Arabidopsis thaliana: one gene and its partners. The protein of the gene in region 3 interacts with the protein of the main gene of each other region in a pairwise test. Each region holds a gene or a part of one and is shown on either strand. Other genes may lie near its edges. The genes, in order: NF-YC4, FASS, ZIM and TCP3.

The links.
Region 1: the proteins of ZIM (region 3) and NF-YC4 interact in binary tests that used the Arabidopsis thaliana proteins (3 or more experiments, as listed by UniProt).
Region 2: the proteins of ZIM (region 3) and FASS interact in binary tests that used the Arabidopsis thaliana proteins (3 or more experiments, as listed by UniProt).
Region 4: the proteins of ZIM (region 3) and TCP3 interact in binary tests that used the Arabidopsis thaliana proteins (3 or more experiments, as listed by UniProt).

What each region holds. Positions count from the first base shown.
Region 1 is NC_003076.8:25,411,746-25,418,887, forward strand, and holds NF-YC4 (nuclear factor Y, subunit C4), read right to left. Parts: upstream 5,455-7,142; 5' UTR 5,340-5,454; coding exon 4,591-5,339; coding exon of another isoform or gene 4,587-4,590; exon of another isoform or gene 4,296-4,586; coding exon 4,292-4,295; 3' UTR 3,855-4,291; downstream 1-3,854. Other genes in the region: AT5G63460 (SAP domain-containing protein), read right to left, coding at 1,860-1,895, 2,075-2,178, 2,268-2,332, 2,458-2,581, 2,668-2,703, 2,829-2,874, 3,541-3,654; AT5G63480 (mediator of RNA polymerase II transcription subunit), read left to right, coding at 5,572-5,949, 6,204-6,296, 6,630-6,728; AT5G63490 (CBS / octicosapeptide/Phox/Bemp1 (PB1) domains-containing protein), read right to left, coding at 6,971-7,142. UniProt on the Arabidopsis thaliana protein: Stimulates the transcription of various genes by recognizing and binding to a CCAAT motif in promoters. Involved in the abscisic acid (ABA) signaling pathway.
Region 2 is NC_003076.8:6,171,338-6,180,201, reverse strand, and holds FASS (tonneau 2 (TON2)), read right to left. Parts: upstream 5,231-8,864; 5' UTR 5,049-5,230; coding exon 4,907-5,048; intron 4,655-4,906; coding exon 4,563-4,654; intron 4,408-4,562; coding exon 4,345-4,407; intron 4,268-4,344; coding exon 4,169-4,267; intron 4,084-4,168; coding exon 3,925-4,083; intron 3,693-3,924; coding exon 3,621-3,692; intron 3,478-3,620; coding exon 3,345-3,477; intron 3,251-3,344; coding exon 3,186-3,250; intron 3,075-3,185; coding exon 2,999-3,074; intron 2,889-2,998; coding exon 2,787-2,888; intron 2,702-2,786; coding exon 2,509-2,701; intron 2,499-2,508; exon of another isoform or gene 2,235-2,498; coding exon 1,988-2,234; 3' UTR 1,801-1,987; downstream 1-1,800. Other genes in the region: AT5G18590 (Galactose oxidase/kelch repeat superfamily protein), read left to right, coding at 60-148, 254-337, 420-791, 873-1,376, 1,462-1,521, 1,606-1,686; EMB269 (GTP1/OBG family protein), read left to right, coding at 5,379-6,484, 7,054-7,327, 7,418-7,709, 7,796-7,961, 8,048-8,156, 8,265-8,363. UniProt on the Arabidopsis thaliana protein: Probable regulatory subunit of type 2A protein phosphatase involved in the control of the dynamic organization of the cortical cytoskeleton.
Region 3 is NC_003075.7:12,642,578-12,650,687, reverse strand, and holds ZIM (GATA-type zinc finger protein with TIFY domain-containing protein), read right to left. Parts: upstream 5,125-8,110; 5' UTR 4,904-5,124; coding exon 4,598-4,903; intron 4,442-4,597; coding exon 4,352-4,441; intron 4,268-4,351; coding exon 4,134-4,267; intron 3,664-4,133; coding exon 3,556-3,663; intron 3,447-3,555; coding exon 3,341-3,446; intron 3,224-3,340; coding exon 3,140-3,223; intron 3,080-3,139; coding exon 2,954-3,079; 3' UTR 2,824-2,953; downstream 1-2,823. Other genes in the region: AT4G24480 (Protein kinase superfamily protein), read right to left, coding at 1-278; CLT2 (CRT (chloroquine-resistance transporter)-like transporter 2), read right to left, coding at 5,378-5,538, 5,628-5,753, 5,843-5,966, 6,172-6,222, 6,310-6,345, 6,438-6,537, 6,862-6,977, 7,057-7,094 and 2 more; PWD (phosphoglucan, water dikinase), read right to left, coding at 8,057-8,110. UniProt on the Arabidopsis thaliana protein: Transcriptional activator that specifically binds 5'-GATA-3' or 5'-GAT-3' motifs within gene promoters.
Region 4 is NC_003070.9:19,846,092-19,853,855, forward strand, and holds TCP3 (TEOSINTE BRANCHED 1, cycloidea and PCF transcription factor 3), read right to left. Parts: upstream 5,635-7,764; 5' UTR 5,345-5,634; coding exon 4,169-5,344; 3' UTR 4,111-4,168; exon of another isoform or gene 4,110-4,110; intron 4,017-4,109; 3' UTR 3,697-4,016; downstream 1-3,696. Other genes in the region: AT1G53210 (sodium/calcium exchanger family protein / calcium-binding EF hand family protein), read left to right, coding at 1-74, 194-339, 416-692, 791-1,105, 1,194-1,442. UniProt on the Arabidopsis thaliana protein: Plays a pivotal role in the control of morphogenesis of shoot organs by negatively regulating the expression of boundary-specific genes such as CUC genes, probably through the induction of miRNA (e.g. miR164). Participates in ovule development.

The DNA of each region.
Region 1 (7,142 bases), on a different chromosome or scaffold from region 3:
CGGACATAAAATTTGATTTGTTTTTAATCTGTGTATCTTTCTAAACAATATTTAAATTTGGATTACAACTAGAACAATATCCTTACAATCGGTTGAGCTACCAACATTTTTGTTGCTATATCTAGTGTCGATAAGTTAGTGAACTATTGAAATCAAGATTACTGTATCTCACTAGCATATATGTTTGTTCTAATATTAATTTAATCACAGTTCTAAATTAAATAAGTGTAATTTCTTTGCGTGCAGACGAATAATTCATTACATGAGGACGACAAAGTATTGGTTGGAGAATCCGCCAATACCAGACATGTGTCGGATAAGATCGAACACGTTGATAAAATTCTTCAGCCGAAATTTGAAACAATTGAATGCACGATTATTATTAACGTTATGTATGTAGAACAACAAATAAAAATACACTTTTTGTGACTACTAGTTCAGTGGATCTTTATCAGTTTTCGTGCACGTGGTTCACGTGGTTTGAAAATCGAGTTTCTTTCATAGAGCAAAAAAGTCGGAACTAGTTCCATTGACTTATTTTTAAGCTCGTGTTGGCTGAAAATCATCCACATTTTAAAAAATAATACAATCTTACCTCTTTGTCTCATCTATACTTTATTTCGTTTTAGATATTTCATATTTATTTGCCTACTCATTAAAAAAATATCTATCTAGTAATCTTTTTTAACTAACTCATTTCATTAAAATAGACGAGAAAGGTATAGTGGTTTATGTATATTGATTATAAAATAAACAAAATGATGCATACATTTCTTTTGTAGTCCGGCGTTAATAATTGATGATATGCGGAGTGAAAAAACGAAAACCAATGGTTAATTAATTAGTTCATATGCAAAATATGGTGAAAATATGTAAGATTGGTGTGAGCCTGTCACGTTGTGACCAGAAAACGGCGCCGTTCGGAGAACTGGCTCCATTAAGTACAAGAGCTCTGAACCAAAAGCATCGCAACGAGTTTCTACTTATTTATTAGAAAATGTCCACAAGTGTCCCATTCTTTGCTTTGATTTGACACACAATTATTTGTCATAACGACATCTACAAAAAAAGAAAGAAAGAGAAGAATTGCCCTTCTTTGAAAGTACTTTCTCTTTCATTTTTCGTTCTCACAACTTCATTTTCACCGTCCAAGAGACTCGTGGTTTTGACTCGCACTAATTTTTATGATGCTTTTGTTTTCATTTTTGAAAGGGAGAAAAGAGAGGTACTATATCAAATAGACATCATTTTACTATCAAGAATAAGAAATTATTTCAATTTTTTTAAAAAATTAATAAATAATTTAGAAATTCAACACTAGCTTTTCACGGTTAAATACTAAAGTCTAATCCATAAAACTAAAATTTTAGCCCCATTTATTTTCTTTTTTCGTTTTATCTCCTAATAACCAAAAATATACAACGGTTGTGTTTGTAATTTTTTCATCAAATCCGCCACAAAAGGATTTTGGTTTCACTTTTTGGTAGGTGAACAGGAATTGAAAATTTGCATGTCTCACTTGCGGGTCAAATGTTGTTTTGCCTTATAATTCTTCTTTGATTTTAAACTATTGACCATAGTGTTGTACTTAATATAGCCAGCCCCAAAGCAATTCCATCACATTTTTAATTAACCAAGACCGCCTGGTTTGGTTTGGTTTGCTTTATCAAAAGATGAAATCCATATTACAAATGTCACCAAACCGGATTCATAAACTAAAGTAGCCTAATTCCTGATAACAAATTCTCCAGATGAGATCAAAAGGATTTGTATTTGATCAAGAACAACAACAATTCTCTCCTATTTGGGAAACCTCTAAAGATACATATATTCACCAGAGCACCCTTCTCAACTTCATTTCAGTTGGCACTCTTCAGACGCGCAATGAGCTCATCCTGCAAAACCAGTCAAGTTCCATAATCAATCAGTGGAACAAGAGCCACGATAAACAAAGAACTGGAAGCAACCCCATACGACAGATTCTTTAAGATACTATTGAGAGTACAAGACTGAGAAGCTGTAAACAATTTTAACAGAGTTTTCAAAAAGAACAGTAGCATATATTGTGACTTGCCTTTCTTCCTTTTGTTGGAAGGCCCTTCTCCTTGAGCATGGCGCGGAGCTTCTCAACGGTCAAAGACTGAAAGTCTCTTTCGCCTGTGCGACTGCTTGATCCTTCTGTGCAGAAGAAATTCATTGTTTAAAGTCCAAGTGACATACGATCTTGAAAATTAAATCAAATAGAATTAAAGGTATAAAGAGATAACCTTGTCTAGATGCATTAGCAGCTCTTTTAGCTGAGCTTCTGTCGTCCAGAGCTCTATTTGCAGCCCTACGAATAAGAAAAAGTAATAGATGAACACACCATTTATGTAGGCAATAAGAAAGATTAGTGATTTTCAGTCAGTAAGATTAGTCACGCAAGGGAGGAAAGAACTAATCACGTGTCGTAGTTACCTCTTTTTAGGACCATCTTCAGCAGTTCCTTTTGAGTCTTTAGAACTAGATTCGCCTTTTTGCTTCTTTAACAAGAGAGATCTGATTAGTATATTTTGCTGGTTTGTTTTGATAAGCTGTCCTTCTGGATATATGACAAACAAAATAAGTTAGGAGTTGTTAGTAAGACAAAATTCTACAGGAAACAAAGACTTATTACTGAAACGCAGCTTATTCTGAAACTGATAATCCTGAGACTCCCAATTACTTTTCCAGTGTAGCCAATTCTCACCCAGAGAGAAAATGAAAAGGAATTGTTTTATGAGATTGCTACAAGAAACTGTCTCTAAGAAAACAACTCGTGGAACAAAACGAAAAAAGAAAAGAATTACCTGGGGGAGATGTGTCATGCTCACAAATGTAGACCCGCAAGCTTCCCTGAAATCTTACACAAAAGAAAGTTACTAAAATGTATGATTAAGCTTTAACAAAGAAGCTATTACTACACAGATAGATGAAACAACTTCAAAAGGAAAGAAACACTCTGAGATCCTGCCAGTCTGCCACATTCACAGGAAAACTAGAACTGAATGATCTTATAAGAAAATAAATTGTAATAAAACTCCAATATGATTGGAAATAAGAGCTACGCATTACTAAATCCAGCTTTTGACAGCAACACATGGATTCAAAGCAGTCGCTTGCCAACGTTACTAAAGTAATTAACAAGATCAATTGTCATGAACTGAAGCAGTATATTATAAGTGAACTCTTGTAATTATCATTACACAATTTGATCACAAATCTCAAAGCTTCAAGCATTTATAGTAAATGGTAAAATTCAAAGTAAAAAGCAGAAACTTTGAGCCTATAGGCACAAAGTGTGGAACCTAAACCTAAAATCAAAATTACAATTCAGACAAGATTTTCTCTGATTTAATTCTACCCAAATTTCAACGATCTGGAACTACAATCAAGATCACTTTGAAGAATTGAAGACGCATACAAAAAGCTAATCACTTTGAAAAACCCAAAATTTCAAAATTCGGAATCCATAATAGACCTTAGAAAACAAAAAAGGCGGGAATGGGTTAGAAAAGTTACCGGATTGGAAGAGACGACGGTAGAAGACAAGAAACCTCGAGACGGGAGGTCAGAAAGGAACTTGGAAGCAGTTTGATCAGAAGAATCGGATGGTTGAGATGATGAAGCCTCCATTGACAAACCACTGATAAACCCTAGCCGAGGAAGACGAACCCAGAAGAGCAAGAGAGGGCGAGAGAGCAAAGAGAGAACAGACAGAAAATCGTTTAGGAACAAAGCGGCACAGAGATGGTCACCGTCCGATTGCGTCTATTGGAGAAAGATATGGGCCTTATTAGGCCTTAAGATGATTAAGTAAGAAGTTAATATATGGGCCTTAATATAATTTATATATACATGTTAAAACGTGGTCTATTCAAAGCTAATATATAGGCCTTATCAGGCCTTAAGATGATTAAGTAAGAAGTTATTATAAGAGACAGAGAACTCAAAGCTACTACAAGCCATGAAATACAAACTCAATATGCCATACATAAGCTCTGATCATTACTAGATTAGGAGCAAGAATCAACAAAAATACAAAGCATAGATTAGAATCTGCACATTTAGATTAATATATAGTTAAGCAAGTCTGCAGTTTTGCTGCAATAACTTATAAGTTAACAGGAAAAATGAAAAAGAGCTTTTTTGTTTTGTTTTGTTTGATCTCTCTCTCTCTCTCGAGTAAGTCATTCGAATCATAGACATATAAGAATCAGACACTTGCAGGGTCGAAATGATGATTAAATCTCTAAGCTTCTGGTTCCATAGCTCAACTGCACAACATTGTACAAATAATCAAAGGTGTGAGTCAAATCAAATAATGGATATCAAAATTGTGTATTTTACAAAGTTTTGTTTATGAATCTAAAGAAATGAGCCAGATGATACTGTAAATTGAGCTTCTTTGATATTATCAATTTTTAGCTTATTTGATGAGAATCAATGAAGATGACACAGAGCAGCAAATTCCTCTAAGACTAATCAAAGCAAGCTCATGAAGAATCTCAATAACCATAGATAATCAATTGCAACAAGCTACATTGCTGAATATTACTAGAATTCACTTACCCTTGGCTATCGAGATTACCATGGCCGCTACTTCCTCCACTTCCATAAGACACATCATCACCACCACCAGCTGAATTCTGCCAAACGCTTTGCCATGCCTGAGAAGGAGGCTGAGCATAAACACCGCTAGGATCCATCGCCGGTCTTCCAATCATCATCCCTCCAGGAACCGCCGGTTGTCCCATCGGTGGATAATAATAAGGAACACCGCTCGCGGCGGGAGCAACCATACCTCCTCCACCAAGAGCCGATGCTGCATCTTCCTCTTCCTTGATCTCTTCCCTAGGAACAATATCAACAAGGAAATCGAAGATATCGGTTCTAGTAATCGCAGCAGCGATATCGTTTTTCTGAAGCGTACGACGTTTGTTCTCTTCAGCGTGAAGCCAAGATCTAATCGTAAGTTCGAGAATGAAAAGCTCACAAGCTTTCGCGAAGAGAATCGGTGCTTCGGCGGAGATCATACGCACATCTTCATCAGCTTTCATGATTTTTTTGATACGAGCTAGAGGGAGCTGATGGTTTTTGAAATCGTTTACCTGTTCGATCTCTTGTCTCTGGTATGTCCAGAACATTTGAAGCTGTTGCTGTTGTTGCTGGAGGAGGTGGTGGTATGTCGCTCCTCCTCCGGTGACTATTGATGCAGATCCAGATGGTGGAGGAGGGATTACGGTTGTGACGGCGGAGCCAGGTGGATAGACGGAGGTTGGTGGTGGTTGCTGGTTGTTGTTGTTGTTGTTATTGTCCATTGGATCTTTGCCTTGTGATTGGATCAAAAGATCAAACTAACGTTTTAGATAGTTTTTGTCATATGGATTGGAGTAATAGTGGATAAGGTAGACAGCGATGTAGCTGATTTCTTTCTATTTTTATTTATCTATAAAAACTATATTATTGATATATATATTATATAGTTTGATTAAAACGACATCGTATTAATAGTTTAGTCAACCGACGCCGTGATAAAGTGTGTTCACGGTGATGCTGCAGAAACAGGTCTCGACGACGACGACGATGACGACACAGGAGCTAGCGATGGAAGGAGAGAAGCAATTGGAAGAAACTATTGAAGCGGCGTTTCAGATAATTTCAGCCATGAATGATGAGCTTTGTAATCCGTCTTTGTGGTCTACTTCAGCTACCCCGAGTTCCGCCGCGACGACGACGGGTTCTAATGGTTCGGCTCTCGTTTCCGCCGATGCGGCTGCGATTGATGGAACATCGCATCATTCGGAATCTGCTGGTGGTGGCGGGGGCGGAGGAAGTGGAAATAGTGTTTTGGATGAGGCGAGTCTTCGGTATAAGAACTCAGTGACTTCGCTTCGTGCTGTTCTTGCTGCGATTCCAAATTCGCAGAAGGTATTGAACATAATGTGATGTTACTAACTATTTCGAGAAGTGTTTTGTTCTGAGTTGTTTCTGGACTGAGGAAATTTTGAATTCCTAGGGTGTTTTGAGATCTTAGATTAGGAAATCTTCGAATCGATAGAGAGTTTAGATGAAGGATCTAATGCTTGTTGAGTGTCTTGTTCTTCACTTGTAGTGAACTTGCTTAATTTTAAATGAGAGCTTTTTTGAGGTTTCATAAATTTGAATTTGTTCATCTATTACAGGCAAAAGCATCTGAAATGCAAAATGGTTTAGGATCTCCTGAAAGTGAAGACGAGATCGAAAAATTGGAGGAGCAAGCCTTAAGTCTCAGAATGGTAAAGCTTTCTGCAATTTCTACATCTCTTTGTTTTCAATCTGATGTTACTACATTGATACACTATTCAGTCTCGAATTCTCTGTACATTTCAACTCACATAGCATTGAATTTGATTCATATTTTCTTGTATAAAGTGTTCTTTCCCACTGTCTAGTGTAAGTGTTTGTATCATTATAGCTTAAGCGGTTCTAGAACCATGGAAATGTTGATAATTTTTTGAATACATTTCAGCCATCTGGTCATTTTGATTTCTATGTTAATAACCTTATGGGAAGTGATTATATTGTTCTTCTCTGTTGGCATTAATAAACGGAAGCTTTTGTTCATGCAGGAGATTGCAAAGAAGAATGTTCATGTTAAAGAACTTATAGATAAACTTCGGGAACTTATAGCAGATATCTCTACATGGCAAAGCCCTTGTTCTGTTTGAGTTTTATTTTTTTGACAATAGTGAGATCAGTTTAGACAAAGATTCTAAGCCTTGTTCTTGAATTACTCCATGTATTAGTTTTAGATATTTGTTATTTTGATATCATGAAGCCAAAAAAATAATCAAAAATGACTTTTGTATATAAAAATATTTCAGACAAAACCTTCAAACCCTGTGTCTGTTTTTCTTTTTTGTTTGTATTGATCTGTTAAAGAAACACTTCTTGTAGTGTTTCTGAGGAATCAATGACCGAATTTTCTGAGAAAAGCCATAAAACCAAGACCAGCTACTAATGCTGCACCAGCCGCAACTCCACTATAAGCAGCAGCCCAAGCGTCTGTCTCTACATACTCCATTGATTCTGCTGATCCTGATGCTCTTCTCCTTCTTCTTCCTTTGCCTTCTCTTGAATCA
Region 2 (8,864 bases), on a different chromosome or scaffold from region 3:
CTACTTCGAAACTGCGCTAAATGTTACCTGGATCTTACAAGTTTGCTTTGCTTTTCCAGGACATGCGGAAACATTGGTCTTCGATATCCTTAAGGTCGAGTGGTCTGTAGCAAGCATCTCCTCTCAATCTTCTGTCACATCCAACAAGGTGGATAAATAGAAAAATCACATTCTTATATGTAACTAACTTGTATATTCTTTCAACCCCATCTGTTAAAAGCTCAGTTATTGTCTTGTGGTATGTTTGAAATAGGGATTTAGTCTAGTTCTTCTGCAACACAAGGATAAAGATTTCCTTGTAGCTTTTGGAGGAACGAAAAAAGATCCTTCAAATCAGGTTCGAGCCTTATCATTCCGCTGTATTGTTCAAGATCTCAATTTATGTATGTGTTTTGATGCTATGTCTGAACTATGAAAAGGTCGATGCTTTTACCATTGACAAGAACAAGAGTGAATCACCAACACATCCGCAAACAACTTCCAAGAAAAACCCCGGCCGGTTACTGTTTGGAAAAAGATCTTCTTCCTCGGCAGTTTTAACCTCTGATGAATCGGTTAAAGCCTCTTCACAGAGGCTGATTGATTCAGTTGCCAGACAGAAACTTGCTTCAGCCATTGAAGAGCATGGTGGCTCTGGTAGAAGGTCTTTATCAGAGATTGCTTTCGGTGATCATCGTAACCCACCTTCTGGAAATGTCTCTTTGCGTAAACAGTTTAGCACCGAAGAGGAATACAGAGCGGTGATTGAACCCGCAAAGTGTTCAGAAGAAGACATTTCCGTGCCTCCTCCGGTATATATAGTTAGTTCATGATTCACCTGCATTTATTGACGTTCTTGAATTTGCTTTTAAAACGTCTTGTCTTGGTTTCAGACCACAGATGACAATACTGGAGGAGCAAAGATTACAGCAGAGAAAACACTTTCTATGGTTTCTGACCGTGAAATCTTAAGTCTCCAGAAGCAATGCTCTGAAACATATCCTTTAGAAAACGTTGATGGCGCCTTGATATTCCAAGAAATGGATAATATCAACTTTGCAGGATCAGCGTCCTCATCGAGCGTGTACCAATTCCATGAAGCGAAAATGACGGCTCTTATAAGAAGAAATGGGATTCTGGAAGGGCAGTTAGAAGCAGCATTGGCGGGAAGAGAGGCGGCTGAGAGGAATGTGTCGGTTGCGTTGAGGAGCAAACAAGAGACTGATAAAAAGTTATCTGACGCCATGAGAGATGTTGAATTGCTTAAGGAGAAGCTGACCGGGTTAGAGCTCGCTCAAGAGGAAGCTAATAGTTTGTCAAACATGGTTCACTCCGACAATGTCAGGCTTGAGCATGATGTAGCGTTCCTCAAAGCTGTCCTAGACGATACACAAAAGGTAAAATAATCCTAGTAGATATACAAGCGTTTTCAAAAGACTGAGGATTAAAGTTTAATACCGTTTTGTGTTATGGGTTTTGTAGGAGTTGCATTCAACAAGAGGAGTTCTTGCAGGAGAAAGAGCAAGAGCGTTCCAGTTGCAGGTGTCATCATAATCATCAATAGACTCTATTCAAATTTGCATTTTCAAAATGTAGTATTGTTCTAAAAACTTGAGATGAACGCAGGTTGAAGTGTTTCATCTGAAGCAAAGATTACAATCTCTAGAGAACAGAGCTGCTACACCCAGAAAGCCTTTCCATGTCTAAACACAGACCAGAGACAACACGATAACTTTTATGACTTCCATTTTGTAGTACTCGAGACATGACTGAATTCATGTGTGTTGTGGAGTAATGTATAATAGAAGTGAATTCAGAAATGTCAAAAATCAAATCAGATCCCAAGTAGAATAAGACAAGTGACGATATAAACAGCCATTTCATTAAACGTCACCAACTAATAAGCTTACAAAGATACACACACATGAGATGAGACTGTTTACTAGTGCGAGACTTTTGATCTCAATGATTTAGCATTTTTTTTAGGTAGACATAGAAAATAACATTATCACTGAGACTCTTCCTCAGGTGGTTCTTCTTCTTCTTGAAGAAGGTTCTCACGGTTGTCATGAGCCCAGAAGCCACGCACATCTATAAGCATGCTCGCAACGGTTCCACCTTGTTTACATCCCAAGAGATCACCCAGAGTGATCTTTAATGGGTCAGACGGTTTCACCATGTCCCAGATCTCGTCTCGAACATCTTCTATGCACAGTTCATAGTTCCCACCTTCTATCCATTTCTGGTGAACATCTCTGCAAGTTAAACAGATGAATTCAGAAGAGAGACAATGGCATTATCACACATCAATGGTGTGTTTGATATGCACTAGTGTCTTTGCAGATATGAGACTCGCGGAACAAAGCTCAGCTTCCGCAAGCAGGAAATGCAGAGTGTTTATTTAGGAAGATTGTATCAGATAACATCACAACTCTTTGATGCTCCCCTTCTTTACTTCCATGTTTCAAACAAAATTTACTAAAAAGTAAGAAACCAAACAGATTCAGTCGCTTCATAGAGATTCATTACCTGAAAAGAGAGTGAATATCAGCAGTAGTGAGAAAGCCTCTCCCTTGGAGATCAAGGCAACGGAATAAATACGTCAAACCCTCTGGAGTATCTTTGTTCTCCAAAGCAAGAACAAAATCGAGGAAACTGTCAAAGTCCATTTCCCGGGAATTGCCTGCCACGATTTTACCACGGCGGACATGCTCATCGAACACTAAAAAAACAAAGGGGAATTAGTATACTAAGCGTGTCTCGATCAGTACCACGAGCCTACAATCACCAAAAGGGCTTAAATTTACCTCTTTCAATGAAAATCTCAGTTAGGGTCCCATCAGCATATTCTTTAAGTTCTTGTTTGCACAGCGATCCACTCATATCTTTATCAAGTGCGAGGAACATATCTACAGAAGAAAGAGAAACTCTAGATCAATCTCCATTTTAGTTCTTAATATGACATAACGAGAGTTGTTTCCAGTTCTCTGCAGCTATTAAGACAAAATAGCACACCCACCACATATGCGTTGGGCTGAAGTCAAAGAGAACCAATTTTCTGCCTGTTCAGTGTCTGTGACTTCCTCCTCGCTTTCCTAACGTTGAGTAACCAAGGAACAATCAGAAAACACAAGCAAGTAGCTTATGAAAGTGGAAAGTTATACGGTGACGAAGCTGTATGTCATACATCCTTCAACTAAACTTACCTGATGCAATTCCATTAGTTCCTGCAGACAGTTACTGAGCAGTATCTTTTTAATGCAGGCTCTTCCTGTACGCAAAAAATATCACATTTACGAGCGATTGAATACTGGGTCAAAGAAATTTCTAATTGCCTAATAATAATAATATTTTCTTTCACTTACCTCGCCTATGGGGATCACAGAAGAAGAAAAACTTTTGTGAAGCTATGCGGCAATACATTTGATTAAAGGCCGGAGGCATGTCTCTCAGTTGTGCCAGATTAGGGATTAGACCACCAATATAGGACTCCATTTCCTATAATAACAACAGCAAGTAGACTAACTGTAAGGAACTTGACATAAAAGTCAACACCATTTGACATTTGCAGGTAGGACGACTACCTAAAGAATCTTGAGCCAATTCTAAAGTTAAAGCTTTAGAGCCACTTGAGTACTTACATCAGAATGAAGGAAACCATCAGAGTCTTCGTCAAGCTCACTCATATCAATCCTAGCTTGTGTAAGCGACACCTGAATAGTGTTGAACATATGATTAATCAAAACAAGTATTAACTATAGTTGTTTAAGTAAAAGACACGCCAAATTAAAAAAACTTGAAAAACAAACATCCAAAACTAGCAAAGCTGGTGTCACTCAAACACAGTACCAAAGAATATTTAGCTTATGGCGACAGATGATATTCAGCCAATGAACAAAAATGATACCCAAAGACATGACATTATAAAAACATAAGGATACTCACCGTGCGCATCACATAAAGATAAAACGGTAAAATGGCAATCCTCCCAGCCTCATCCTTCTCAAATTTCATGAAATTGGATGGGCTAAAAAACCGGCGACATTTGGGACCGATTTGTTCAGTGCATACAGAGGCAATGTGACAGAAGTCTTCATAGTTCATCTACATGAAAAAGACAGCGCAATATCAGCATCATTGTTAACATAGTTTCAGCTCCAGAGAAAAATCCTATAAAAGATGCACGTACCTTTTCAGCACCAGTGGCATCATCAATCACACAATTTTCTCTCAAACAAACCCACATAGCAGCCAAATCATCAGCGTTTAACAAAAGATCCGATTGTTTCTGTGGGAATTAATCAACATATCGAAGTGAGCAAAAACATTAAACTTCTTCTGAATAATTAAGAGCAGGCGAAATACCTTCAAGAAACGGTACTTTGCAAGCTTCTGGACCCTTTGACTAATAGATCCTTCTTCTGGTTTCTGAACCAAGAGTAAAGGAACAAAATTTTATTGCCTAACACGAATACTTAAAAGGAAAAACAACTTCTATGAAGTGTATAACACAATGCAATATTTTAACCGAGTAGTGCCTTGAAATGCAAAGGCAATCATTTTATACAGAGTAAGGGACATGCCTTCTTGTAGAAACTCGGTATTGTGCCTGCTTCTTGGCTTTTCTGTTGCTTCTCTTTAAAAATCTCGAGCAAGATTCTCTTCGTCTCAAGCTCTACAAAACAATGAACACAAACCCTTATCAAACTAAGCAAAACCAAAGACTCTATCACAGTTAAACATAGTCTTTCAATACATAGACATGTAAATTCAGGAACTTTACTCATATTGAAAACACAACGAGCTCTAAAATGTGATCAAAGATTCAAACTTTACAGAATTTATGACATCATCACAAGCTAAAAGATAAAAAAACTACAGACTGTCCCAACAACCAAAACGCAACAACCGGCAAAAGGAACATTACCCATTAGAGCTTCGGATCCTAATCCGGCACCGGAACCAATATATCGTCGTAGATTTCTAACCCAAAGCATCGAAGACGCCGGTGGGATCTTCCTCTGCGTCGATGTATCATGACTCTCACCATCGCTAGATCCGCTATACATTCTCGGAGATCGTCACAACCCTCGACGATAAATGTTAGTCACCAAATGAAGCAGAGAGATTAAAACCCTTAAATAGAATGGTGAGACTGAACCAGGAACTGCAGAAACCCTAAAGCGCCCCCTTTCTCTCTCTCTCCCTCTCTGGAGCTCAATCTGCGAGATCCAAGCTTCAAACTTCAAAGGTAATAAAAGTTTCTCCTTGTTTGCTATATAAGTCCTCAATTTTATACTACTTTTGATTGTAACCCCCTTTACTTTGAAAAATCAATATTTAGTACAAAATGTTGTTTATATCACATAAAGTCCCGTTAAGATTTATCAGAGAAACAAATGGCTTCCATATCCATTAACTGTTTCTTCACTCCTCAAGCTCTAGCCCGACCCAGTAGGACGAGGAAGATTTTCGCTAAACCTGACAAAGTCTCGGGAAGAACCCGAAGCCCTAGAAAAACGAAGCTTCAACGCGAAGTCGAGCTTAAATCTCGAGGCGGTGATAAACTCCAGCCAGTTTCTGATGCCGGCGGCGAAGCCACTACTTATACACGTCTTCCTCCTAGGGAAGATTACTATGATGTCTCTCTTTTGTCTTCATCTTATTTAAAAGTTTCTGAAGAAGTGAAGCTATCTGAGTCCAATGTCGCGAGGGTTGAGGAAAAGATTGAAACTTTGAGGGAAATTGAGGAAGAAGAGAAAGAAAAGGAGGTGAAGAGTTATGATGATGATGATATTTGGGGAAATTACAGAAGATTAGATGTGTTTGAAGGGAGTTCAAGATCAATTGATGAAGATGATGAAGATTGGGAAGACGAAGTGTTTGAGTATGGTGATGAAACTGATGCGGAGAAAGATGATAGTGAAGGGTCTGAATTGAAGGATGGAGAAGTGTTATGTTTCTCCGGTGAAGAGGAAGAGGATGAAATTGGGGTGAAGGAGAAAGGAGTTCCGGCTGTGATGAGGTGTTTCGATAGAGCGAAGATATATGTTAGAGCCGGAGATGGAGGGAATGGTGTGGTGGCGTTTAGGAGAGAAAAGTTTGTTCCTTTTGGAGGACCTTCAGGTGGAGATGGAGGGAGAGGAGGGAATGTGTATGTAGAGGTTGATGGGTCTATGAATTCGTTGTTGCCATTTCGCAAGAGTGTGCATTTCAGGGCGGGACGTGGGGAACATGGGAGAGGGAAGATGCAGAGTGGAGCTAAAGGTGATAATGTCGTGGTGAAAGTGGCTCCTGGGACGGTGGTTAGACAGGCTAGAGAGGTTGGGAGTGAGGTGGAGGGTGAGGAAGGGGAGGAGAAGGAGGTGCTTTTGGAGTTGTTGCATCCGGGACAGAGGGCGTTGTTGTTGCCTGGAGGGAGAGGTGGACGAGGGAATGCTTCGTTTAAGTCGGGGATGAATAAAGTTCCTAGGATTGCTGAGAATGGCGAAGAAGGTCCTGAAATGTAAGTGTGTATTTTTCTTCATTTTTGAGCTGGTTTTAGTTTAGTGTGTTGATGATGGTTACAAGCTTTGATAGGATAAACTAATCACAGAAGCTAGATTGTTCAAAGATGTAAAAATTTCATTTTGGTTTAGGAACAGTTGATTTGTATTTCTTTTGTTTGGTAAAGCTTGATGTTTACATGTGAGCCCTGCTTCCTTCATTCGATCATCTGGGTTAGGTTTAGTATCTCGGTTAATCTCCAGAGGAAATCTCATCTTGTAAGTAATGCTCACTATACAAGAATTTATATATAGATACAGGTACAGGACTTTTGAAAGTCTTCCATTGCTGACTCTGCTAGTAGAAAAGCTCATGTTGATAGAGGTATGTTAGAGTATTATGAACGGATATGAGTTTCTGGGTTATCTATAGACTGGATTGGGTACTCTTAGAGTCCAACACTATCATGCTGTTGGAGAATTATGAGACTGTGTTTGCCTTTAGGAAATGTAATATGTGGTTCATATATATATTTTTTTTTTTCTGGGAAGCTCTGATTCCCAATTATAACTTTACATATGCCTATAGGTGGCTGGACTTAGAACTGAAACTGGTCGCAGACGTAGGTATTGTGGGTGCTCCAAATGCAGGAAAAAGCACATTGTTGAGCGTGATAAGTGCCGCACAGCCAACCATAGCAAATTACCCATTCACCACATTACTTCCCAATCTAGGTGTGGTTTCATTTGATTACGATTCAACAATGGTGGTCGCAGATCTTCCTGGTTTGCTCGAAGGAGCGCACAGAGGCTTCGGTTTAGGCCATGAGTTTCTTCGGCACACTGAGAGATGTTCAGCACTGGTAAAACAACTGTCTTTAGAATTTAGATTCAAATCTTTATACTTCATTTTTGCTTTTTTCTAAGAAGACCCTTTCTTTTGTGGTTTAAAGGTACATGTTGTGGATGGTTCAGCTCCACAACCTGAACTTGAGTTTGAAGCTGTTCGTCTCGAACTCGAACTATTCAGTCCTGAGATCGCCGAGAAGCCTTACGTAGTGGCATACAACAAAATGGACCTCCCAGATGCTTACGAGAAGTGGCCAATGTTTCAAGAAACTCTCCGTGCCCGTGGGATTGAACCTTTTTGTATGAGCGCAGTACAAAGAGAAGGTACACATGAAGTAATCTCGTCCGTTTATGAACTCCTGAAGAAGTACAGAGCAGCCAATGCAGAACCCAAAGGTGTGGTTTACTTTTACTTTGGCATAATAGAATGATATCGCGCTTATGCAGTGTATTGATGGGGTTTGTTTTCAAATTTGCTATAGCATTGTTCGATCAAGCAAATGAGAATCTGGACCATGTAGCTAAGAAGATTGATAAGGAACGACGAGCAGCCATTAATGAGTTTGAGGTCTTCCGCGATAGCGGTACTAGGGCTTGGCATGTAGTTGGAGCCGGGCTTCAACGTTTTGTCCAGATGACTAACTGGAGGTATGAGTTGAACTACAGCCATAATTCATGCAATCTAACTAATCAAGTGTCACTAACCAATGTCGATGTGATTTGTGTTTGGATAGGTACATGGATTCAGACAAAAGGTTTCAGCATGTACTTGATGCTTGTGGTGTGAATAAATCACTGAAGAATATGGGCGTTAAAGAAGGCGATACCGTCATCGTAGGAGAGGTTTGTTTGAGTTTCTCTGAACCTTTTGTTTGTTCAGCATGTACTTGATGCTTTTGTTAGTCTGTTGATGAACATTCACAATGTGTGTGTGTGTGTGTGTGTGAATAGATGGAGTTGATATGGCATGATTCAGCCAATGGCTCGAGCCGTCCCACAGATTCAAACAAGACTTCGACAGACTCAGTCAGATGGCCTCAATGGAAATGAACCATTTAAGGTCTCTCTTGGTGTTAGACTGTTTCTTTAACCGACGAAGGAAGTGAATCAGATTACTTTTTCGGTCATTGGATTGAACCGGTCGCAGATCATTGAATCAATTTTTTTAGATGTACTATTATAATGTAGAGATGACGTATTTATAATTATCTATATATACATTTTTGCAACACTTTTATGAAATAAATCCTCAAGTTGAGGATTTATTTACAATCCAATGTCATTGGCATTTAATATTTTAACAATTTTATTCTCAAATCTAAATATAAATCAATTTTGTTACTAAAATTTAGAAAACTAAAATAAATATATCACAACAATCATTTAAATCTTTCCAAATCTAAAGTAAAATATACTACTCACTAATATTCCTTTTTAAGAGGATCAATTAGCATTAACGGTATATTATTATTGATATATATGAACTTTATAAAACATTAATAATATTTATCCTTATAAAAAACATTAAAATATCATGAAACGAGTTATATA
Region 3 (8,110 bases):
TGCTGCTGATGCTTCTTCTCCGACTTGCGATCATCGCTAAAGAGATCTGAAACGGCTGAGCTTTTAGAAAGCAGAGGATTAGAGGAGAACACAGTACTCTCCTTCTCCTTGTTAGAATCTTCTCCGACTCCATTAGATTTATTATCTCTTTGAAATCCAAAACTCTCTCCAACGTTAGACGACGATTTCTTCTTGTCGTGATCATTCTTAAGCGAAAACGAATCGAATCCACGATCGGGAAACTGCCGCGGAAAGAAGTAAGTAGTCCGGTGAGGCATTTCGTTAAAATCTCACTCTGAAAGCAAAAATTTACAGATCGAACGAACAGAGAAATGAATCTTCTTCGTTTAACCAAATCCCGTCATTGAATCCAGATACAAACAAAAACAAACGATCAAGAGGAGACAAGAAAAAGAGAAAATAATCTCTAGTTGAATTCGTCGCCAGATACTGGAGAAGAAGAAGAGGAAGCTATCTAATACTTATCCGTTTAGAATTGAAGTAGTCAATCGTCAACGTTAACCACCGGAAAAAAAAAGAAGCTATCTAAACGTATCACCGGGAAAGAAAAACTAACGGTGGTTTGGTTTTGATAGAGAAAGGGTTTTTGTTGGTGGGATGAAGAAGCGTAGTCAAGGTGTTGGAGATTGCACGAGAAAAGGAAGGAAGAAGAAGAAGAAGAAAAGGAAAGACAACAGCAAATGGGGAATTAAATATTTTGAATTTTTATATTATTATTTATGGAAAAGTAATAAAATGGCCAATTAAAAACTCTGAGGAAGAAGAAGAGGGAAACTTTATGTGACGAGCTTACACGTATACTCTTCATGCAATAGGATAGTGACACGTGGATTATCATCCTAACTCATGCATTTCTTGGCTCTCTTTCTCGGTTTCTCTCGTGATCTCAGTTTTTATAGTTTTACTTTATAAGGAAGTGATGACTAAGGAGGATGCATTCTCCTAGATCTTAGGGGTGTCTAGGTGCTTGTTGGTTTTGTAATTATCTCTTAAATTATCGAAATTAGCAATTTTTATTACTATAGAGGATTGAAAATCTTATCACTGATCAAACTACACAAAAAATGTATCAAAGTCATATGTAGGTGGATATAAATTGAATTGGTTTGATGGTTATCTTTTTCTTAGTTTTAGTATATATGATATATGATTTGACAAAATATATAGTCAGCTGATTGTATTTGGACAAATTACTCTTTTTTTTTTGTTTTTTCATCATGAAATTTAACATTTTGACTGTCGTCTAATCATCACTTATGATATTTCTTAACGTTTTAGTTTTGATACTAATCTTTTTATTTATTTATAAATTATAATGTAGTTTAGTTAATCTTTGTGTAATTTTGGGATTTAGAAGTTTTCAAATTTTGCATATATAGTTATGAATCATGATATTTCATATGTAATGCTGTTTTATCTTATAAATATCAAATTGTTTATACTTCAAATAAGCGCTTTTAAGCACCAAACGTTTGATTGCTGCTACCCATTTAACGCTTCTCATGTTTATAAATTAAAAATAGTTAGGAAATTCAGCATCATTTATATGTCTCCTGGATACAGACGCACGAAAAGAAGAAGATAACACAGTTACTGGCATATCTACTGATTTTGTGGAAACGGAACGTGACAAGAAACAAGTGCATACATATCTTCTCTCCCTTTTCTCGCATCGCATATAGGGGAGTGCTTTTAAATTTTCCTTCATTTTATACAAAGTTCACATCACTTTTAACATAAAGAAAAATTCAATGTTGGAAAATAAAAGTTTCAATTATTTCCCAACACGACAAATGTTTTAACATAAAACCACGAGAAATGGATATTTGTTCAGATGTTTTCTGGTTGCAAATAATCTTTTTTTCTACGTTTTCATTAAAGATTATATACAGGGATGATATCACAAGAGTGTTTAACTGTTTTGAGACTTTTAACTTTAGGTTTGGTGAAGCCTTCAGATTTAACTCGTGACTCATAAACTAATTTCAATATATCGGAAAACATTATATAATCATTAATCTATTTGTTTAATAGTACATAATAAGATGATATGGTACATGCATGGACCTCTTTATAGTACAGAAACAGACCACCCATTAATTTATTCGTCTCAGATACTTTTCATTTGTTTGAACAACTATAATCTATAATAAAGAAAGAAAGAGCAACGAGTCGTCACGAGGATCGGGTCACTTAAAGCGACTCCTTCTCGAATAATCTCATCATAAATTCCTTCATAAACAAACACTATTGACATCAGAAAAAAAAACATTATCTTAGTTGATTACCATCAAACTGGTTCGACGGTTCTCTTTTCTTCGATACATTTTTGTGTGATTTATATAATGTATTCTATTTGTTATGTACACAATAATGTGATTTGTAGATAATCTAATCTATTTAGTGGTCCTGAGCCCGATTTAGTAATCCACATGGTTTTGGTATATGATGCGTATGCATACATCCTCTAATAAACTAATCTTGTAAACTAGGATTGAGATCTAAGATGCATTGTCCCATTCCAATGAAACTTTTAAAATCTTTTCGGATATTTTGATACGTAGTGTTGTTAGTTGGTCAATACAACCAAAAAGAAGAAGAAATCACCTTTCAAGTTTTGAGTAGATTAGTATTTGATTTATGTATGAGACATTGATAAGTCTTTTTAATCTGATCATATCTTTTGAGGATGTAACGTAATAAGTAAACTTTTTTCCCCTCAGAATCGACTTTAACGTTTTTAACCACACCATGTCAATGGGTATGGTTGCAAGCATAGTAACAAACTCTGAAACCAAAGACATCTGATATGGTATTTGATTTGAGGTTCGGTTACGGTTTCTATAATACATGTGATGGTGAAAAGATAAATTCATAGAGAAGACCATCTGATTCTACAAAGATTTCTATCTTCTGATTCTTATCACAGTATTTAGTGATCACCTAACAGATTAGAATTATCCCCATTGGCAAGAGAAACCATGGAAGTGTGTTCTTCAACACTTGCAGCTTCAGTGTTTAAGTTGTTAGCAGCATCAGCAACACTCCCACCATCATCCTACAAATAAGCGATGATGATTCAAGCTCCGCCTTATGTGGATAAACCAACCAGAAACACAGGGTGATATTTATAAGAGCTTACCGGTTTCATTAAAGCCAACTGATTCTCTTCTGTTTTCTTTGAGAGATCCCTCAATGTACCCTACAAGAATTGAACAATTCTAAATGTCAAACTTCTTGGCTATATCAGTATCTTATGAACTGAACATAGTGAACATATTATATATGTCTTTATCATCACTTTGTCTTTCATACGTACCCTGTTAGCCCAAAAAAGTCCACAGGCATTGCAGAGAGTCCTGGGGCCGGAAGGGCCACGTCGCATCATTGGTGTACATTTGGAACTAATGCCGCAATGAGTACACCTACATAAGACACACTCACGTTTAAAATAAGTGCAAACAAAATGTCCCACATTAGTGGAAAACAAAAATTGCAGGAACAGTTAATTGGCAGAGAAGAGAAAGAACTCACGATATTTCTGGATGGGCATCATCTTGGGCAGAATCTTGATCTGTGCCAGAGTTATAAGCCCCATCTGTCATCTTTGAAGAGGTGAATTGACCTTTATTACGTGCCATTCTGATAAACACTAACAAAGGTCAGAGAGGCAGAGAAGGTGACAAATCCTATCCCTTATTATTGAAATAGACATGTCGATTATTTCCAGTAAAAGCTACTTATCACACTAACAAAGACTCAGATGTCTATCCTGCTCAACTACAACCATATTGTCAAATACTACAGCAAGCCATGGACAATGAAGCCTACTACTCTACATAAACACCTACATGGTCACCAAACTTCTTGAAACAAATAAAAGAAAACTAGCTAGATAGTAAACTAGTTGAATATGAACAGATTTCCTTTCAATCCATAGCACACGAAAGTGAGGAAGTAGTTAAGCAACCAGAGCATAGCCAGAAGAGTAGAAAATTTTTAGTTTAGCTATACAAGAATACTAAATTTTTATCCCAGAAAAGGTGAAAGAATTTTGTTCAGAGTAACAGCTTTTGGCATAAATTGGTAAAACTCAAGACTGACACACTGACCTTAAGGCAACTTCTTGGCGAACACCGTATCTTACTTTCTTCTCGAAACATCTAGCATTCCTCTTCTTCCGAAACCTATCCAAGGATTGTGCCCGTTGCGGAAGGCTACAGCGGCTCTGATATTCTACAACAGGCTAAAAATAACACCAAACTGAAAAAGGTGGAATCGAGATGAAGTGACAATTTAAGCAGAATTTGAACACAAATAACAAAGTTACCATATGATTCTGCTGTTGAGCTAGTTCCATCACCTGCGGACCAGGAGCAAGCTCAGTAGAACCACCCAACAGCGACAACACAGCATCCACCTACGAAATCAATTTCCAAAGTTTGGTTAAGACTAGCAAAAGCACAAAGGTGCAAAAGAGGCAATCGTTACGTGCCCTAAGCCATCAGATGTTATGTTTCAGATGCATCCATCGAGACTTCACACAAATAACAAAAGAGGGACAGAGTAGAATTACCTTGTCAGCACCAACGGCATCAAAAACGTAAACTTGTCCACGGAACGAGATCGTAAGCTGATTCGCCCCTTCCGGTGGCCGAGAAACAAGTAATTCAGAGCCATCGGATCGGTGAGCAACCAATTGAGAGCCATCGGGAATCAAATCGGAGGCAGCACCATAGATAGAGTCAGGATGAGGGATTTCTTCCATATCGTCGTAAGGAATGTGACCAGACGTAGCGGAGGCAGAGACATGGTCTTCACCAGCGGAAGCAGAGGCGGTACCAATCTGGTTATTTGGGATAATCGAATGGCGACCAAACATCGGAAACTGCCAAAAGGGAGAGCTTTTTTTTCACATTGATTGAAGGATATAGAGAAAGAACAAAATAAACCCTAACCCTAAGAGCAAAGGAAGAAGGAAATAGTTGACATCGAGAAGAGCGATTACAGAGAGAGATGGTGATCGGCGCGTGTGGAGGAGGCGAGATTAGGACCGTCGTCGAATTCACCCGACGGTAAAAAAAAAAGGTGACTTTAGGTAAAATCGCAGCACTGCTTCCGAGACGACCCGACGACTCTACTTTACTGGATTTTTAACCAATCACAAATTTCTCTTCTTGTTATTCTTTTTTTTTTTTTTTTTTCTTTAAGCTAGTTTTTCACGTAAAAAAAATATCTGAGAATATTCTATGTATCTTTGATGGTCAAAGGAAAAAAAATTGGGAAATTACACGAATTTGGTTTATCAACAAAAAAAAAAGTAATGCACAAAAAGGATGAATGGTGAGTGAGTGTGTTAGGAGGTCTTGGTGTGTTGTTTAGTTGGAGTAGTGGGAATGTTGTAGAGAAGAAGACCTAGGACAAGAACTATACACCCCATCGTAAAATTTGAGCTCAAGCTTGATCCTCCCGGTAGATACGGCAATGGTTTTGACATTATGTACACCGCTAATGGCACTACAACAACACCAAAAGTATTATCTCATATGGGTTTGAGTATTTGGTGACACTTAAGAGGCGTTGCATGGAAGGATAGAAATATGGACCTGAGAGCATCATGGTAAGAGAGGAAACGATTGCTGAAGATATTTTCACCAGATGGAGCAATGAGATGTTGAAAGCGAGATTGGTGGATATATAGAGCAGTGGGAGTATAGGGGCACCATCACAGCCTGAAATTCTCAAATGGATAATCACAAAGTTTTAGCAGTGAATAAAATTCAATGAAGGAAAAAAAAACAAGTGTCGAATGGTCTCTAACCAGAAATCTTAGCTCCAGTGTTGAAGAAGCATCCGGCACCATCTTTTAGATATGAAGGAAGGCTGGCGAATGGAATGCCTTTCAAGTTTGAGAGAAAAGGCAACAACAGGAACACAAAAAGAGCCTGCACAAGCACAGCTTCAGTGATCCGTAACACTAAACCAAAAAACAAAAACTCTTCTCAAGTAGGAGAGAGATAATAAGTGAATAACAGAGGAAAGCAGCTTTCAAATGTTTTCTTCACGTACTCTTGATGTAATGGAGAAGCATGTCTAATTGTTTTGGCTGTAACAAATACATTTACAACATGATATTGTAGTAGTAGATACCTGAAATCCAGATCCAAATGAATTTACCACAAATATATCCAGTGACTTTCCCTGCATCCACCAGTTAATCTTAGAGTTAATTCAGCAAAGTTTCGAAAGAAAAGCATTCCTGTTTGATGCAGGGGATAAGGGAGATACCTCAAGACGCTTTGCAGCATCATTGAAAACAAATTCCTGTTAACAGACAAAACACTTAACAACTTGGGTCTTGGCAAAAGAAAATAAAATAGAAATGTTCACAACTCATAAGAGAGAGCGACCTTCACCTTTATGATAGATGCACCAGCTTGAAAAGCAGCGGATGCTACCAATACAGCAGGCCATAAGAAACCGATTCCAGATAGCGTAGTATCTGCACCAGATCCACTGCAGATGAGTTACAGTCAGCATTCACAAAAATGAAAGTATCACTATCACACAAGCTTCTCTAGAATCAGGGCCTTCTATTTGCTATGTGGATGATAAATACTAAAGTAGAGCCGTCTCCATTCATTTAGCATGGTGAATTTGATAGGTGTGACTCTGGTCCATGAAAACTAGTTTTCTAGATTGTAAGAGCTGAAAGCACTCTCTTGATATAATCTGTAAATGACCACGGATACACAAACATTTCTCTACCCCAAGATCAAGCATCCAGATCCAAGAAGATAAAAGTAACTTTAGAAGAAGAGAAGAGGGAGGAAGGAATACCTTGAAACAGCCACCACAACCCCCACAGCCACAAGGAGACAACCAGCAATTTGGTTAAGCAAAAACCTCCTGCCTAAAATAAGAAGAGCAAAAAGCAGCTGCCACACCAAATATGTCTGCCAAACATTGGGAGGCATGAGTTCAACACCCCCATGAGAACAAATGAGCAAGAAGATAATCATAAAACCAAAAGACCTGATTCAAAATGGGTATAACTGGTCCAGGAAGCATTGCTGCAACAGAGAGTGGAATCACTCCATATGTAACCTTATAAATATGTAAAGTTTCAATCATGCTATAAATGGGATACCTGCTGCAGCCATGCCAGTGGCAACACCAAGAGCTTCGAGAAAACCAATGATTGCGAATCTCCATTTGGGTACATCCATCATTTCATTCGTCACAATGCCTAGACGGCGCCTCGTATACAGAATGGTGAAATAAATCAAGACGTAGCTGCCAAAAACCATTCATTTATCATAATCTAAGCTAGGCTCCTTCACTGCCCAATTTCTTTCATAGCCACTCTTGTTTAAGTTACCCGAAAGTGGTGAGCTGAGCCATGAAAAAAGGGTACTGTTTCATGGGAACCAAAGCGAGTTTGTAGAGCACGCGATTAGCTACAGCTAAAGCTACGATTACGACGGAGTTAGCCACGATAAGGTTCCGATTAGAAGGAATTGAAGACTCCTCCGTAGAAGCACCGACGGAAAAGCGAGGTCGTCTCATCGGAGAAGTGGTTTTCGGAGTACTAAGAAAGCGAGATCTCAAATCGGACCGTCTGAGAAAACACATGCTCATCATAGTCGTCGAACGGTAGGAAAACAGTTGGGAGCTCCGGCAGCTGACCTGATAAATCGCCGGCGAACGGAACACCGTAGGAATTGAAGCATGAAGACATCTGATTGGTGGTGTTGTAGCCATGAGAACGGTATCCATAGCGGGAGACTTTCTCGGCGACTGTTTTTATATCCTTCTTCGCTTATGCGACCCTTCATACGATGTCGTTTAAACGAGTTTTGGATTTTTATCACACAATCATTTATTATGAAACTTTGAATCATGTTTGTTTGTATCAGGAGTGTGCCATGATGTAGAAATATTACATGTGTAATAGCAAACATATAAAAGATTAGCTTGTAATTATAAGATTTGATTGAAAACTTAGGGAATGGTACAAGTAGAAAAAGAGAGCTTAAACTTGGGGTCTAGCTTGGACGATGTAGATATGTCCACCTTTGACAACACC
Region 4 (7,764 bases), on a different chromosome or scaffold from region 3:
CTGGAAGACAATTGTCCGTGTTGATTGCTCTAATCCTTTCAGTTCTTATGTTGATCTCTTACTGTGTATATCAGGTAACATAAAATCTTCAGGACAGAAGTTTCTGAAAAATATTTACTAGACTTGTTTCCTTTTTTTTTGCTTTCTCCATCTTGTTTTGTGAGATTATCCTTCCTTGTATGATGATATCTAGGTATTCCAACCATGGATCCAAAGGAGACGGCTTGCTTTTGCAAAACACAAGCATGTTATATCAGGAATACTAAGGCACTTGAAACAACATGCTCTGGGAAGGCTTCTTGATGATGAAGGTCAGCCTGATGAACATGTCATTCGAAAGTAAGTCATATATTCTTTACATGGAGAATGCACTTTACTCGGTTTCACCTTGTGCTCAAGTTTATCTGTTTATTAGGTTGTTTTTGACAATTGATGCAAACAATGACGGACACTTGTCAGCGGCTGAACTAAAGGCGCTTATCATTGGGATCAGCTTTGAGGATATAGATTTTGACAAGGATGATGCTGTGGGAAAAGTTCTCCAAGATTTTGATAAGACTCTTGATGAGCAAGTTGATCAAGAAGAGTTTGTCCGTGGAATTAAGCAATGGCTTATCCAGGCAATGGGAGGTGCTCCATCTGGTCCTGAAGCTGGCCCTCGAACAATGAAATTCCTTGACAATTTCCATGTGGTTAGAAAGACTGTTGAAACCTTATTTGAACAGACTTGGGTCACAAAACTTATCTGGAATCTAACGCAATTAGTTTTATCCTTTTTCTTGTTTTGCAGCAAACAAAGAGAGAGCATGCTTTGTTGGGAGATAACGAGAATGGTGAGAATGATGAGGAAGGCGGTGAGGTTGCAGACCCAAAATGGATCACCATTAAAGCAGCTCTGCTGCTACTGTTAGGAGCTGCCATTGCAGCTGCATTTGCTGATCCTTTAGTCGACACTGTTAACAACTTCTCCGCAGCCACAGGGATTCCGTCTTTCTTCATTTCCTTCATCGCTTTGCCTTTGGCCACCAATTCAAGTGAAGCCGTGTCTGCCATCATCTTCGCATCCCGCAAAAAGATCAGAACCGCCTCTTTAACTTTCTCCGAGGTCCATCCATATTCACAAGTCTTATATCTTTCTGTCCCATTATATTTCCTATACTAAAACCCGTTTCTTGGTGTTTGTTTGTTTTCAGCTATGTGGTGGAGTGACAATGAACAACATTCTGTGTCTCTCGGTGTTCTTAGCAATCGTCTACGTTCGAGGACTGACATGGAACTTCTCATCAGAAGTGTTGGTGATTCTCATCGTTTGTCTGGTGATGGGCGGTTTCGCGAGTTTCCGCACAACTTATCCTCTTTGGACATGTTTCATAGCTTACTTGCTTTACCCATTCTCCTTGGGTCTGGTCTATATTCTTGATTACTGGTTTGGCTGGTCGTAGATATCACTCTCTGTTCAAAGAGTTTGTTCTAATGAGTGAGTGTCTTCGCGCGTGGTTTCGTTTCTTCTCTACATATATATATATATATGGATTCTCGAGTGTAAAAACTTAAATTCTGAGATTTGTGTATTGGAAACAGAGTCTTATTGAAGCTAATACAGTAATATCTTTCTTGTTTCTTCTGTCTATTTAGTCTTCTCCTACATCTTTATTTTTGCTTGCTCTTTTATAGTTTTACTTATGGATGTTCTTTGTATTGAACCAAAAAAGTTACTTGTAAGTTGTAATCATCATATTTAGAGATTGAAATTTATTAATTTTTCGGGGAAAAAAAAATGATCGAACCAACTTATGACACTTACTTAGCAAGTAATGCCAATTGTACCATAAGCCGATGAATAATTGATTCATTATGTACTAACGTAGAATGTTATCGTCAGGTCCCGTAGCTCAGTTGGTTAGAGCGTTGGTCTTATGAGCCGAAGGTCGCGGGTTCGAGCCCCGCCGGGACCAAAACTTGAGTCTTTATTATTTTCGATAGAATTCTTATTTACAAACATTTTTAGACCCAAAAACTGTATATGAATCCGGAGAACCTTTTGAAAGACGAGCTCTAACTTCTTTTTTTTGGTTCGGTCCTTAACTCTTGATATCATCATTTTGTGTATGAAGCTAAACCAAATGTAAATCAGAAAATTCATGCCTGCCAGAATTTGATGGTGTTTGAAGGAACATAAACTTTTAGTGTCAATAAGGAAAATTGGATCAAATTTGGTTGGCTTCTTATCATTCAGTAAATGAAACCGGTTAACTCAAACAACATCAAACGTAGTAACCTCATTACTTAATAACCAAAAGAGCCGGTTTTAAAACTTTTTGTTGTAACCTCATCCTCTGAAGAGAGATGCAAACTAACAATAATGGTTTTAGACCACTATCCAACAATCAAGTTTTGAGCCATTTTGCGACTCTTTTCTTCTTTTTTTGGAAAATTATCATTGGCTATGGAATAGAATGAAGAAAAATCAAAGAAAAGTAAGACAGCTGTATGTAACCTTGAGATCTGACAAGAGATAGAAAGAAATAGAGAGAGGGGACCATTCTTTAAAGGTGACAACCTTTTTTCCCATTTTGGTTTCATCCTTTTCTTACACTTTGCTATCCTTTTTTATTATTATCATTCATGTCTTCTTCAACATTCCCTTTTTCTTCTGTCATGCCCCCAAAATCATAGAGGTTTCTTTTACCTCATTGATCTTTTCACATAACCAGATTCATCATGAGCTACATTTATTGTATGTACATCAATCATATACATTTGAACAAGAAGGTTACAAGGAAGGAACAAAAGAAGAAGAAAAGATAACAGAATTTTAAAATGTAGAATGGATATGATTCAGGCTGTCTTTTTCTTTTTTATGCTGCAATTTACTTTCGGATGTCTAGCCACTACTTCCAATCTCATCTTATCCCATCTCATGTAAAGTGTTGCTTCTTTATATAACTTCTCCATAAGAAACCAAAGTTTTCTTTCCGAAAGATATTATAGCCAAAAATCGACAAATTATGGACAAAAATTCATACCTTCACACTATTGATCTGAAAAGAAAGAGACTTGCTCTGCTTTCAACTTCCTTCATTTAGACCAACAAGAGTGTCTTCATCTACTAATCTAATGTCCTATTCTTTTTTACTTATTAAAGACTACATCACACTCAAGTTCGGTGGATCTCCTACACTCTTGTTTAAAGTAGACAGTTATTTGACACTAGACATCAAATTCTCTTTTGCTCCTTTTTCATAAAATCTTGAAATCTAGTATTGAGGAAGATTCTATGAAAAGAAGTCAAAAACCATTTCTCTGATATTTATATAGGGATCCGTGGATCATGGGCCAAAACTCTTACTAAGTATCAGAGCTTGCATCCACTAAACAAATTTTAAAAGAAACCCATAATTCTAAACTCTAAACTCCAAAAGAAGCAACACATGCAAACCCTGTCTATGGAAAGTGACTCTTCATCTATGGGGCCAAAAGAAGAGACTAAGAAACACAAGAGAAATGATTGTTTCAAATTCCATTTGCTAGTCAAAAGAAAGTTTATAACCACAGAGATTGGGAAGATAATACTTCTAATAAACGCTAAACCAAACAATATGATGATTGATGTAGATGGATAGAGCACTGTTCCTCTTTGGGATTGGCAAACAAAATGAGATATTTCTTGGGGAAAGCATTAAACCCACATGGAATAAAGGGCAAACAAAAGACTTTAGCTTCAAGTGGGGTTAAAGGTTTCCAACACAAGAACATAAATAAAGGACAAGTAATTGTAGAACAAGTTACAACAAACAAGATGTGAGCTCATGTAGCTAGAGCTAAACATTGTAAAACAGAATTGAACTTACAGAACGTTCTCTAATTGATACAAGATGAATTCAAATTAACCAAGGCCTAGGCTTTTAAAGACTTAAGAAGAACCTGAAACTGTTGATCAGATTTATAGGCCATTTGGATATTCGAAACACACAACAACGAAAACCGCCTTCACTATTCCACGCATTCGAAGCGCCCTGAAACGTTAAAAACAATGTAAGTTATCAATTTGATGAATGGTTAAAAGACAAGACTTTCACAAATGGGTGTTGTTTTCGAAAAACTTCAAACCTGGAATATGAAAAGAAACCTGTTGTGTTGCACAATCTTATGTGTTTTTGGAACTTGTTTAATGGCGAGAATCGGATGAAGCAGAGGACGGCTTGTTGTCGCCGCCGTGCTCCTCTTGTTCGCCTTGAAACCGTGCTGGTATACGAAAACCGGAGAATTCACCACTTGAAGCAAATGCAATGCCTGGAATAGCAGATTGGTGAATCCCGGGAGGGATATGGTAGGGATGATGATGGTGGAGATCGTCAGTGGTCATGGACTGCTGATGATGATGATGATGATGGTGAGGATCAAACCAAGCACGAATCATAGGTGTGTTAATGGACTGAAGGGGACCCCTCTGTGATAAAAGCTGACTTTGGCTATAAACTGGATGCAACGACGACGGAGAAGCAAACACAAATCCTCCGGTACTTCCGGCGGATTCAGCTGCTCCGACGTTGTTCCATGACACTAGTCTCTGTATCTTTCCAAATTCCGGTGACTGATGACTCTGTTCCCAGCTTGCCGTCGATGAGTCAAACGCTAACTGATTATTGCTCTGGCCGGAGAACAGAGCAGGTTCTGTTTGATTAGGAAAAGGTGGACCATTTTGGAAAGATTGAAGCGAGAGACGAAGAAGATCTTGGTTCTGTGTATTGCCTCGTGACGGTGGCTGATGATGATAGCTCTGTTGCGTTGAAGCTACCGGAAAAAACGACTTTATAGTGTCAGCTATCGAATCAGAATCCATTGACGCCGGAAGAAAACTCGATTCGTTATCTTCTTCTTCTCCGATTCGATGATGCTCTGTTTCTTCCGGTTGTGGCGGTGGCGGAGAAATTAAAGTTTTGGTTTTTCTGGGTTTAGCGTTAGCAGCAGCGGCGGCGTGTTGACGAAGAGTATCGGCGGGGTTCCAAGGAGGAAGCTGAGCAAGATCATCAATGGCGGATTTAGCTTTAGTAATAAGCCAATCAACAGCTTTACTTGGTCGATCAAAACCAAGTCTATCTTGAACATCGTAGAATTGAATCGCCGTCGGAGCTGAGAGTCTCACGCGCCGGTCACGTGGTCCTTTCGCTGTACATACTTTACTATGTCTGTCTTTTCTTCCTGTTGACCGAACAATGTGACCTCCTTGTACCTCCACAATCTCGCCGCAACCACCACCGTTCTCCGTCGCTGATTGGTGGTGTCTCATCTCTAGAAGAGGCGGCGACGGAGAATCTAAGAAATGGTCGTTATCTGGTGCCATTGATGAAGCATATTGTGGAAATTCAAGGTCGTTGATGGTGGTGGTGGTTGGATTATGACGGCGGCGGCGACGGCGGTCGTTAACCGCCGAGGAATCCAGAGTCGTTCGATTTATTTAATTCAACATTTTGCCTCTCCTCCAAATCCCAAACCCTAAACACGCCAACAAATCAAAGATGAAGAAGAAGAAGAAGAAGAAGACGTAATTGAATTTTGCAGACTAACCCATGACTAAATTTCTCTTCTTTTGTCTAAAGATTGTTTCTTTTTTAGAATTTGTCTCTGTTTCTGAGAATTCAAGAAGCAAAAACAGAGGAAGCAAGAAGAGAGAGAAGAGATAGAGAGATGTGGAATTGACTAAACGAGAATCCAGGAAAGCTCTTTTTAATTTTTTGTTTCTGGCCGGAAAATTTACAGTAACGGTAAAAAAAGGAAGAGATTTTGGGGTTTGGGGAAGAGAGGGAAATGGTAATGGAAGGAGTGTGTTTGGTCATAAAAAGAGCTCTCTGATACTCATCATCATCACTTGTGCTTTTATTTCATTTTTAAAGTGTTTTCTTATTTTATATTATATATTTTATGGTTTTTCTAAATGAAAAACAAAAAGCTTTTGTCCGATTCATCATGTGGAAATATTTTACATGACATTTCGAATTGTATTAGCTATATACATTACAATGGATATATTTTGGTAGAGGTTACTGTAAGAATATCAACACATATACATAGTCCTCTTAGGTTTGGTTCTGACTACCACTATTTTTTTTTGTTAAAGATGATAGAAACTATAAGCACTAATAAACCCAAATTTTACCAAGTCAAAGATTGTTCTGTACTGTGTTAGAAAATATTAATACAGAACTTTTGAGGTAGTAAAGGTTTTGGGTTGTTGGAAAAAAAGACAATACAAGAAGATTTCTTTTATAATAAAAACTAAAAAGTAAAGCTTTTAGATCTGTTGGAGAGTTGGAGACACTAATAATTGGGCGGTATAAACTAATATTGATGGTATTATTTTAAACAAATAAAGTATTATTTTCATCGAATCAAATTGTATTGGTTTTAGAGGTTACACCCTGTAAAATGCATCACCAGTATCCGTAGGATTCGACAGTATCCCTATAATCAACCATTGTCTATGCTCCTTTCCACTATCTGTTCTCGAACTCCACTGTTCGTCAATCCCACTTTTAATTAACCAAACGTAGTAAAGTTTCAGATGGAAAACGAAAATAATAGAGATACATACTTGTACATAGTTTTAGTTTAAAATTAACTTGAATTTCCTTTAAACAAAGATAAAAATGTGTATATATACGTAATTTGGTAACTCAATCAGTTTTTTTTTTCTTTTTTGTTAACAAGGAAATCCCGAGCATTTGACATACTAATACAAGTATGGTATGTGATTAAATATGAACATTTTAGGTGTGATTCATGTAGAGATTTCAAGAGAGATATAAGAAGAAATATGTGATTGTAGATAGGAGATTTATGTTTTTTGTAAGTGCGTTTCCTACTCATCGAGCCAATCTGCATTGAATCCATAATTTTTTCTTTTACCTTCCCAAGAGAAGAAATTATCAAAACATCGTTCTACGACATGCAACATCAAATTTAAAGGCACGAAATATCGCACGGTTCACTGGTTTAGGACACAATCAATTATTGTTTTCCATTTTTTTGTCATTACCACAAATTCTCTTTCTAACTACTTCTCCATTATACACACCGACCATGCATGTACTGTATTTTTAATTAAATACCCGTAGTCATACGAACTTTTCTGATATATAATGTATTTGGTACCATATTCTTGATCATCAAATAATGACAATGCACACATAAAAAGATGACGTATCGATATGTAAGGCAAAGATGGAATCAAATTTCAAATAAATGTTTCCCATTGCACCTACTCAACCAAGTGTAGTCTAAATAAATTTACGAATATACCCTATAGGCTTTTAGTGTTTTTCGATCGCATGTGTGTCAGTAAGTACACTCCCCATCACCCTCATAGTCATTTCCTCTTATCTCTCTCTCTTAAGTTATTTTCCCCAATATTTATTCCTTTCATTTATTTTTGTCAACTTGTTTTTCCGATAAAGAAATAAACACAATTTTTTCTGTCAATTTCCTAGTTTTATTTCGTTTATTTCCATTGTCTTATTTTTTTCCGTAATAAAAGAAATTAAAGCACTGTGAAAAGTTATAAATTCATTCTTCCATTCCCTTTCAAAATGATTAGTTTGTATTAAGTCATTTTCAGGGGAATTGTAGTAAAATATTTTATTTTTATTCGTCTTTATAATTTTACATAAACTGATTATTTGATTTGTTTACAAGAGTTAGATGGTCAAATAGTGTTTCCTCTAACATGAACAGTTTTAAAGGGCAATACACAAAAACACTAACGGT